2 linked regions of the Danio rerio genome follow. The protein of the gene in region 2 interacts with the protein of the main gene of each other region in a biochemical or structural test. Links are inferred from orthologs where the notes say so. Each region holds a gene or a part of one and is shown on either strand. Other genes may lie near its edges.

Region 1 (4,339 bases), on a different chromosome or scaffold from region 2:
CATACACACTCATTCACACTCATACACTATGGACAATTTAGCCTACCCAATTCACCTGTACCTTCATGTGTTCCATTTTTTGTGCAATATGGACACATTTAGAATGAATAAATATTTAATGAACTGCAGAACAGCGTGAGCCAGAAGGGCTTGTATGATTTGCGAATGGACACCACACTAATGATACATGGCCACAGCACTGCAATCACTGCATTTACGTTTCTCTGCCATTTTTGTTTTGATTTTGCCCTTACGACACGTTGGACAAGCACATTGCGCGAGTGAGCAAAATTTAAATAATTATTTAAAGTTATTTATTTTAATTATTTTTACTATTATGTTGGAATTTTAAGCATGTTTTGATTTTTTTTTTGGTACTTAAAAATACATGTATAATAGTAGGGCTGCTCAATGGAAAAAAAGGCTGATAAAAACACCCTGATGGGCATACATTTTGAAAATGCGCATAAAAAAACTTATGCGCATAACTTAATAGGATAAACTTTTTAATCGGTAAGAAAAAATGCACATAAACTACAATGGAAACACTTTTACCACACAAATTTCAGTATGCGCATTAAAAAAGGCCATGGGATATTGTGATAAGAGATCATGTGATGATGAAAATGTGTGTGAATGGACAACCCAGCAGGCTGAGCACACTGTAAAACATCTGAAATGTTAATTTGGTCATTTGAAAATTCCTTACAATTTATCATTAGTGTTATTATATTATTAATGACCTCCAGAATCAAGAGCGTCTGTGCTCCGCGTCTGATACCTTCAAACGCAACCACGTGTTCACTGCTTGTCAGGATTGCCTTCGAGTTGCAAATTATTTTTTAGATAAAGAAAAGATTGACGCAGCTTCTTCTACTGCTACAAATTCCATTTTTACAGTTAAAATTTGGCACCAGTCAATCAGGAAGTGATGATTTTGTTCGCTTTGACTAGTTGGATGGAAACGCTGCTTTATTTATATGTCTTTTATGCAAAAATCCAGTTTTGCGCATTAAGTTCATTTGCATTTCTGGATGGAAACATAACTAATGTTTCCAGCTTTTGAGAAAATGTGCTTATCGTGCTGTTATTGAGCCCTCCGACTGAAAAGCAAAGGAGGTATTTGGCTGCTAATAACAGTTTAGGGCTTTTACTATGGAAGTGTGGACCCACACCACTGGTATATTCTTTATTTGTGTCTTTTATGTGTGTTTTTAAGTGCATGTAATTTAATCCATTCTGCAGGGGATGCCAGGTATTCCAAAAGAATTAAGTAAAAGAATATTCAAATCTCAAAATTGAAAATCGAATGTCAACTTACAAAATGAACATTGGAAAAATGTAATATTCTGGTCCAGCCTTACATATTCCAGCAAGCATTTAACTGCATTTCAGCATTCAATCTGTACCATTTAAAAACTTAAAAAGTTTGTACCTTAGAACTTGAGCTGCATGAAATCATAATCATGGCTTTTCTCTCCTCACTGGAACAATGGCTGTCATATTTTTCCCCACCCTCATAGATGAGCAGAACCCAGTCACCTGTATCATAAAACCAAATAGGTGAACTTAGGTCAACAATCTGTTAACAATGCACCCTGTGCAAATGCAACAGCTTCTGTAATATAAAGAAACATTTGTGTACTGCAATATTCTATTCCAACTCCTACTATGTAAATAATGTAAGAAAAATCATGTAAGCCACAGAAGAATCTTTCAGCAGTCATTATTATAAAGAAGAACTGATTAAATCTACTATAATAAATTAACTTATCATTTTATCAGCTATAATTTATTTTAAGAATGTTTATGATGAAAGCAAAAAAACAAAGATTTTTTTGTTCTGAAAGACTAGAAGTATAACATACTTCCTGCAGTGGCAACTGTTTTACTGTAGTCCCCAATTCGAATCGTCTTTCCACCTTTTTCTTGCTGAATAAGACCTGCATTCTTTACTCCGCCAGCATCACCACACACCTGAAAAATGTATGAATATTTTTCTTTCTCCTGTCCCTCTGTGGTAAAGCTGTTCAGAGAATATACAAAAAAGTTAAAAACTAGTTAGGTAGTTGTTGCAGTAAACTGCTAACTTTAATGTGGGCTTAATTCACAAAAATCAGGCTTACTTTTGATTGGTGAGAGGCTCGAGTAAACGGAGTGCTTTTCTCTGAGATTCACTGTCTGACACAAGCTTGCAGTTGCTCGTGTTGAACCTAGCTTGCACTCCAGCAAATAGTACGAAAAGTGGAGTGATTATTCTCACAGACAGCAACATGACTTAGAGAACACACCTGATGGAAAAAGGGGATCACATTAAATAGTACTGTAAATGCACAGTATTTCTTTGGTAAGTGATCATTTGAGTCACACTGTACACAAACTGTGTACTTTAATATAGTAAATTCAGTCATGTCTCATATCTTGCGCATTTCAATTTATAGTATTTAAATTGCATAACGTTACATCTTAAATTTGGTTCGTATCATGCGTGTTCCACGTGTTATACCGTGAAATTAGTTTGATCAAGTGAAATTGCCTTAACTGGGCATGTTTACAGATTCTTGCATAACTACAAATGCCTTACTGTAATGGCAACAGAGCAACGCCGTACTGGTAACGTTGTGATACTAACAATGTTAGCAAAAAGGCAATAAAAGTTGCAATAAATTAAAGCAATGAAGCAAATGACAATGAAGCACTTTAGTTAGGAAACCAGTAATTTGTGTTTTTGCGAAAGTAGTTTAGCTATAATTAAACACAAACACACATATAATAAGTCCTATTACCGTTTTGAATGAAGGAAAGTGAAGGTCTTAACTTGTATAACGTTAACGTTAGATTTGTCTTCCCAGCCTGGAGATCTTCCTATTTCAAAACTATCGCACTAACTTACCGTCTTTAAACTAGACTAATCGGCATTACGTCAAAATATCTTCTGCTGTCAACTTTTACAAACCAAATAAACAAACTTATGAATATTCACTCTAAAACAATTGCACGATAACAGAATTTAATGGTTTCTTCTTAAACGCGGAAGTGAAACTAAACATGCACATGTGACTGTGCATGAGGCGGAAGTTGGTTTGCTGCACGTGAACATGGGAAATTGAGTGCTGGTCAGGCAATAACACGAGTTCTACCCCCCTTGCGAGCAACGTTGAGTAAATTACTTCAAAAAAAAAGTAAGTAATGACTAACTATATTATTGAATTGTTTTCAAATAATGTACTTTTCTAATTACTAGTTCTGGAAAGCAATTAATTTACTCAATAAGTTATTTAATTACCGTAATGAAAGCTTTTAATGCACAGGCAATTTAAATTACACTCCTTCAGTCAATTGAGTCAAACATTCATTTATTCATTTTCTTTTTGGCTTAGTCCCTTTATTAAGCTGGGATCACCATAGTAGTAGGAACCGCAAACTTATCCAGCATATGTTTTATGCAGCGGATGCCCTTCCAGCTGCAACCCATCACTGGGAAACACCCATACAGTTATTCACACACATTGCCTACAGTCATGGGCGTGGTAGTGGGGGGAGGGGGGGAGTGGACCTGACTACCCAAGTCCCCGTCTAGGGAGAGGGCCCTTTGAAATCCCACCAATTTTTTATTATTTTTTTTTTTTTTGTAGCCTACTTCGAATTAATTGGCCCCTCTAATTGATGTCAATGTCATCATATATTTCAAAATATATTGATAACACCCCCCCACCCGAAATGGTTTAGTCCGCCCATAGACGGCAGCCGGCGGCAAAAGTTACGCAGTGAGTCTAGAGCCTGATCATGCTGCGCAAAAAGCCCAAATCGGGATTTCAAAAAAAGAAAGAAAGGAAGGAAAAAGAAAGGGGGCAGAATGAGGGGAAGCAGCTGATGACTGCTTTCTTTTCAAAAGGTGAACTGAGTTTGCTTGTTATGAAACTACATCTAATTAAAGTTAACATAGTCAACTCCAGACAGCTGCTGCTAATGCAGGGCTCGAAATTACGACCATTTTGGTCGCATATAATACTGATTTGTGTACAGTCATTACTAGGGAAACCGTAATATTTCAGCGCTCCTAAAGCGCCCCCTTGTGACAGAATGAATTTTTATTTCCAATAAATTTTTTCAGCTGTTTATGGTCAAATTATTGCAATTATCGATCCATGTGTAAATGTGAAAGAAGTTAATGTGCCTTTTAAAAATCTAAACAATTAAGTAATACTAATATAAGAAATTATATACTTGATTTATCCATTTTAATGGTATAAAGGTTGAAATGCCATTGTATTAGATATTTTGTGTCTGTATACGTCTGCAAGATGTCTGTTAAAGATCTCTTGATCTGGAAAGCACC
Region 2 (3,831 bases):
CCATAATGATGCTCTAAACTGGGTGGAGTAACAACTTCTTTAGAGAAGAACCCCATCATTTTTTGTGCAAATTATATTGTTTTACACACACGCGCATTTAAAACAAATATTAGTTTTAGTAAAATCATGCTCTCCTTTTCCATATTAACTGAAATATATGTAAATTACACATACAGGGCCTGTGTTTCCTTTACAAATATTATTGAGAATATTACATATTAACATAAAATCACTTACAGAAGCTAACACGTATTCTAATATCATATATAAATCATATAATTCATTAAAAACTGAGGCTATTTATTAAAAATGAAATTTCATTCATTCATTTTCTTTTTGGCTTAATATTCCTTTATTAATCCGGGATCGCCACAGCAGAATGAACCATCAAAAATGAAATTTGATATTTATCATAAGAAATTTAAAAAATCCTGATGAAAAAAATAATGATGATAATGATGATGATGATGATGATGATAATAATAATAATAATACATAGAGTACAGATACTTAATAAATGACCCACTATAAATGAAAAGCATTAACGTATGCTATGTTTTTTTGTTTTCACAAGCTTTAGAGACCTAACAAATTCCACTTTTAAATAATAAGTCACCTATAGCTTTTGTTGTGAGGCTGTGTTCCAAATAACATCAATGTTTTCAAAGTGCAGTGCGAAGGGAGCACAACTGTAAACATGAAGATCTCTAAAACTGAACTGTAAAAATACTTTAAAAGTAAATTACACCTAAAAGAGATGACTTTGAATGCATTTTTATTTGAATCATTCCAAGTTTAAATGTTAGAATGTTCTAAATTAATAGGGCACAGGGGGGATAAGTGGGAATAAAACACAGTTATATACATTAAATAAAATAATTAAAATAATGTAATAATAATTACATAATTAATAAATATAATAACATGATTACAATGTATGAAATGTAAAAAAATAATCAAAAATTGTATTAAAATAAATAAATAAATAATAATAAATGCAAAAAATTAAAGAAATGAAATTGAAACAATAAATTAATCTGCAAATAAATTCTTTTTTTTTTTAAAAAAGCCAGTACTACGAGTAAAAATATTTAATAGACTTAATCCCCAAATATTTTTTTAAAAGTCTTTTACATTTAAGGATAAAGGGTCCCTCAATCAAAGTTAATCATATTTGAATGTTCATTACTTCTGAAAGATTTTGTGAAAGTGCATCTGTACCTGTTCTTTGTCTTTTGCTCCGTCCGCTTCTGTCTCTGCTGTTACTTTTTCCTGCAGTTCTTTGGGCTGTCCTTCTTTCCACTCTTTCCATCGCTGAAGCAGCTGCTCTGGAGCCCCTGCTAGCTGCTGATTGGCACTGGTCAAGGTAACCCGGGCACTTTCCAGCAGGTCCATAGTGCTGGTCATTTGAGTCACAGACGCATGTGTAGTGTCTCTGGCCTTGCGGGCCCTAAGGAGGGACTGCTCAAGCGCCCTCTCTCGAACTTTGGCAGACAGTTTACCCAGACGGACAAAGTAGCTGGAACGAGTGGACACTATGAATCCTTCCTCCTCCCCTGGCCTTGGCTCAGCAAGCGTAGCTGTTGGAGGAACACACAGCATTGGTATTGGTATCACTTTAAATGTATATACAGTGTGTGAATTATACATAGACGAAAAGTCAACTTTTTTGTAATGTTGGTCTGTAATGTAATACATGCTTCAGTGAATAAAAAGTATGTATTTATTTAAATGACATTTAATATAGCACAATCGCCTCACAGCAAGAAGGTCACTGGTTTAAGCTCGGCTGGGTCAGTTGGCATTTCTGTGTGGCATGTTCTCTCCATGTTCGCGTGGGTTTCCTCCGGGTTCCCCCCACAGTCCAAAGAAGTTATACAGGTGAATTGAATAAGCTAAATTGGCCATAGTGTATGGAAGTGTGTGCAAAAGTGTATGGGTGTTTCTCAGTGTTGTTTTGCAGCTGGAAGGGCATCCGCTGCGTAAAACGTGTACTGGATAAGTTGGCTGTTCATTTCGCTGTGGTAACCCCAGATTAATAAAGAGACTAAGCCGAAAAAAGAAATGAATGAATGAATAATTAAATCAATTATATGTAGGTATTTAGATATTGAGTGTATTTTGACCAACAGTATTTCAAACGTTACTGTAGGCACTGTTAAACTTTACTAACTATACATCAAATGTGACTTTATTTTTGGGCTTTATGGAGAAACAAGCACACATTTTATGACAAAACATTGGTGTCTTGTGAACACCAGTGCTGTAGCCAGTTTCAGGCTGTTGAATGAATGTTTTGACGCATAGATTGATTGGCGTGATTATGCATACTCAGTGGGATGAACCGTTATAACGGTGGCCAAATGTATATTCATGTTATCTATTAATTTAATTATTAACATTATTATTTAAAATATAGTTTAGAGCAAAATTTTTCTCAATATTAAGGGGCTTACCCCCAGTACATCTTGTTTTAATGTCTTTACGGGAAATCAGGTGTTAATTAGGGGGGTCAGACCCCCACCCCCCCAAATCCTCCTGTAATTAGCACCCTGTGTTTATATTGATCTGTTAATGTTTTTCTCAAAAATGTCTCATGCACCAAGCATGCCTATATTTGATTAAATCAAAAATTGTGAATTTAATGCATTTAAATGTAATTTCAAGAGTTCACACTAAGCTGATGATAGATTATAAAGCTTGTTTGGCATGCTGTGCCGGGAGAGAGCCCTGAGCTCATAAGATCCTTGAGCCCGGGGCTCCCTCCGGTTTGCAAGGCGAGAGGTGAGTTTAAGCTCAGGTAGATCTCGAGAACTCCCCTGCTGTAGTAGCTAATGAACAGAGAGTGATTGCTGTTAAGAGATAACTACTTACTAGCAGCATGTCTATGGTGCTGATTTGGATTGGTCAATTAACTGAAGTTGCATGTTTTTGGACAATGGAAGGAAACAGGGGAACCCGGGGGAAACCCACTTGAGCACTGGGAGAACGTTTAAACTCTGCATAGAAACGTTGGCTGGTTTAGTAAGGACTAAAACCAGTGACGTTCTTGCTGTGAAGCAACAGTACTAACCACTGGGTCACCATGCCACCCATCTAGGAAAGGAGGAGGAGTGGGGGTGAAAGGGAGGATTCTTTAAAATGAAGATGGCTGTCATAGGGAACTTAGGGTGATTATAGTGGCTTAGGAATCGTCTGATTGGTGAATCATAAATTGAATAATGTGGGACCAGCTGCAAGCAATCATAAGCATGTGATCCTCTCGAAATTAGTTTATAAATAAACTTCACTTATTTCTGTGATGGCATGATTTTCACCATCATTATGACAGTCTTCAGCCTCACATGTTCAATATTATAAGTTTACACCAACTGTGATGTAATGTTATCATTTTTTCCAGGATACTTTAACAAATGAAAAGACAAAAGACAGCATTTATTGTTATTTAATTATGTTATAAATAATATAACTGTAAAGTCCCACCTTTGATTAATACATGCTTGCTGAACAAAATTATTAATGGAAAAAAAATGTATTGTACAGTTATTTTTTCTGTTTTAAACACTGTAATATACAACTTAGCATGTATTAAATTGCATTTCTGGAAAATAAGATTATACTTGAAACTGAGGTGTTGATTCATTAAAAACTAAAAGGTCTTTCTAAAAAATGTGCTCTTTCATTACAATAATGTATATATAAACACGTTCAGTTTCATTTTTTTCATATGATTTAACCTTGAACTTACATATTTTCTTTCATTTTCGAAGACATTTCATTATCTTAGAATTATAAGGTTCTATCTGACATTTTTGTCCAAATTATTGACAT

Evidence for each region.
Region 1: the proteins of plin3 (region 2) and m6pr form a complex in vitro, tested with the Homo sapiens proteins (2 studies listed by BioGRID). The link is inferred for Danio rerio from reciprocal best matches to the Homo sapiens genes PLIN3 and M6PR.

Annotation. Positions count from the first base shown.
Region 1 is NC_133191.1:17,663,614-17,667,952, forward strand, and holds the start of m6pr (cation-dependent mannose-6-phosphate receptor precursor), read right to left. Parts: upstream 3,022-4,339; 5' UTR 2,787-3,021; intron 2,292-2,786; 5' UTR 2,276-2,291; coding exon 2,127-2,275; intron 2,027-2,126; coding exon 1,869-2,026; intron 1,543-1,868; coding exon 1,436-1,542; intron 1-1,435. UniProt on the Homo sapiens protein: Transport of phosphorylated lysosomal enzymes from the Golgi complex and the cell surface to lysosomes.
Region 2 is NC_133183.1:21,143,195-21,147,025, forward strand, and holds part of plin3 (mannose-6-phosphate receptor binding protein 1), read right to left. Parts: exon of another isoform or gene 3,070-3,831; intron 1,775-3,069; exon of another isoform or gene 1,581-1,774; coding exon 1,222-1,580; intron 1-1,221. UniProt on the Homo sapiens protein: Structural component of lipid droplets, which is required for the formation and maintenance of lipid storage droplets. Required for the transport of mannose 6-phosphate receptors (MPR) from endosomes to the trans-Golgi network.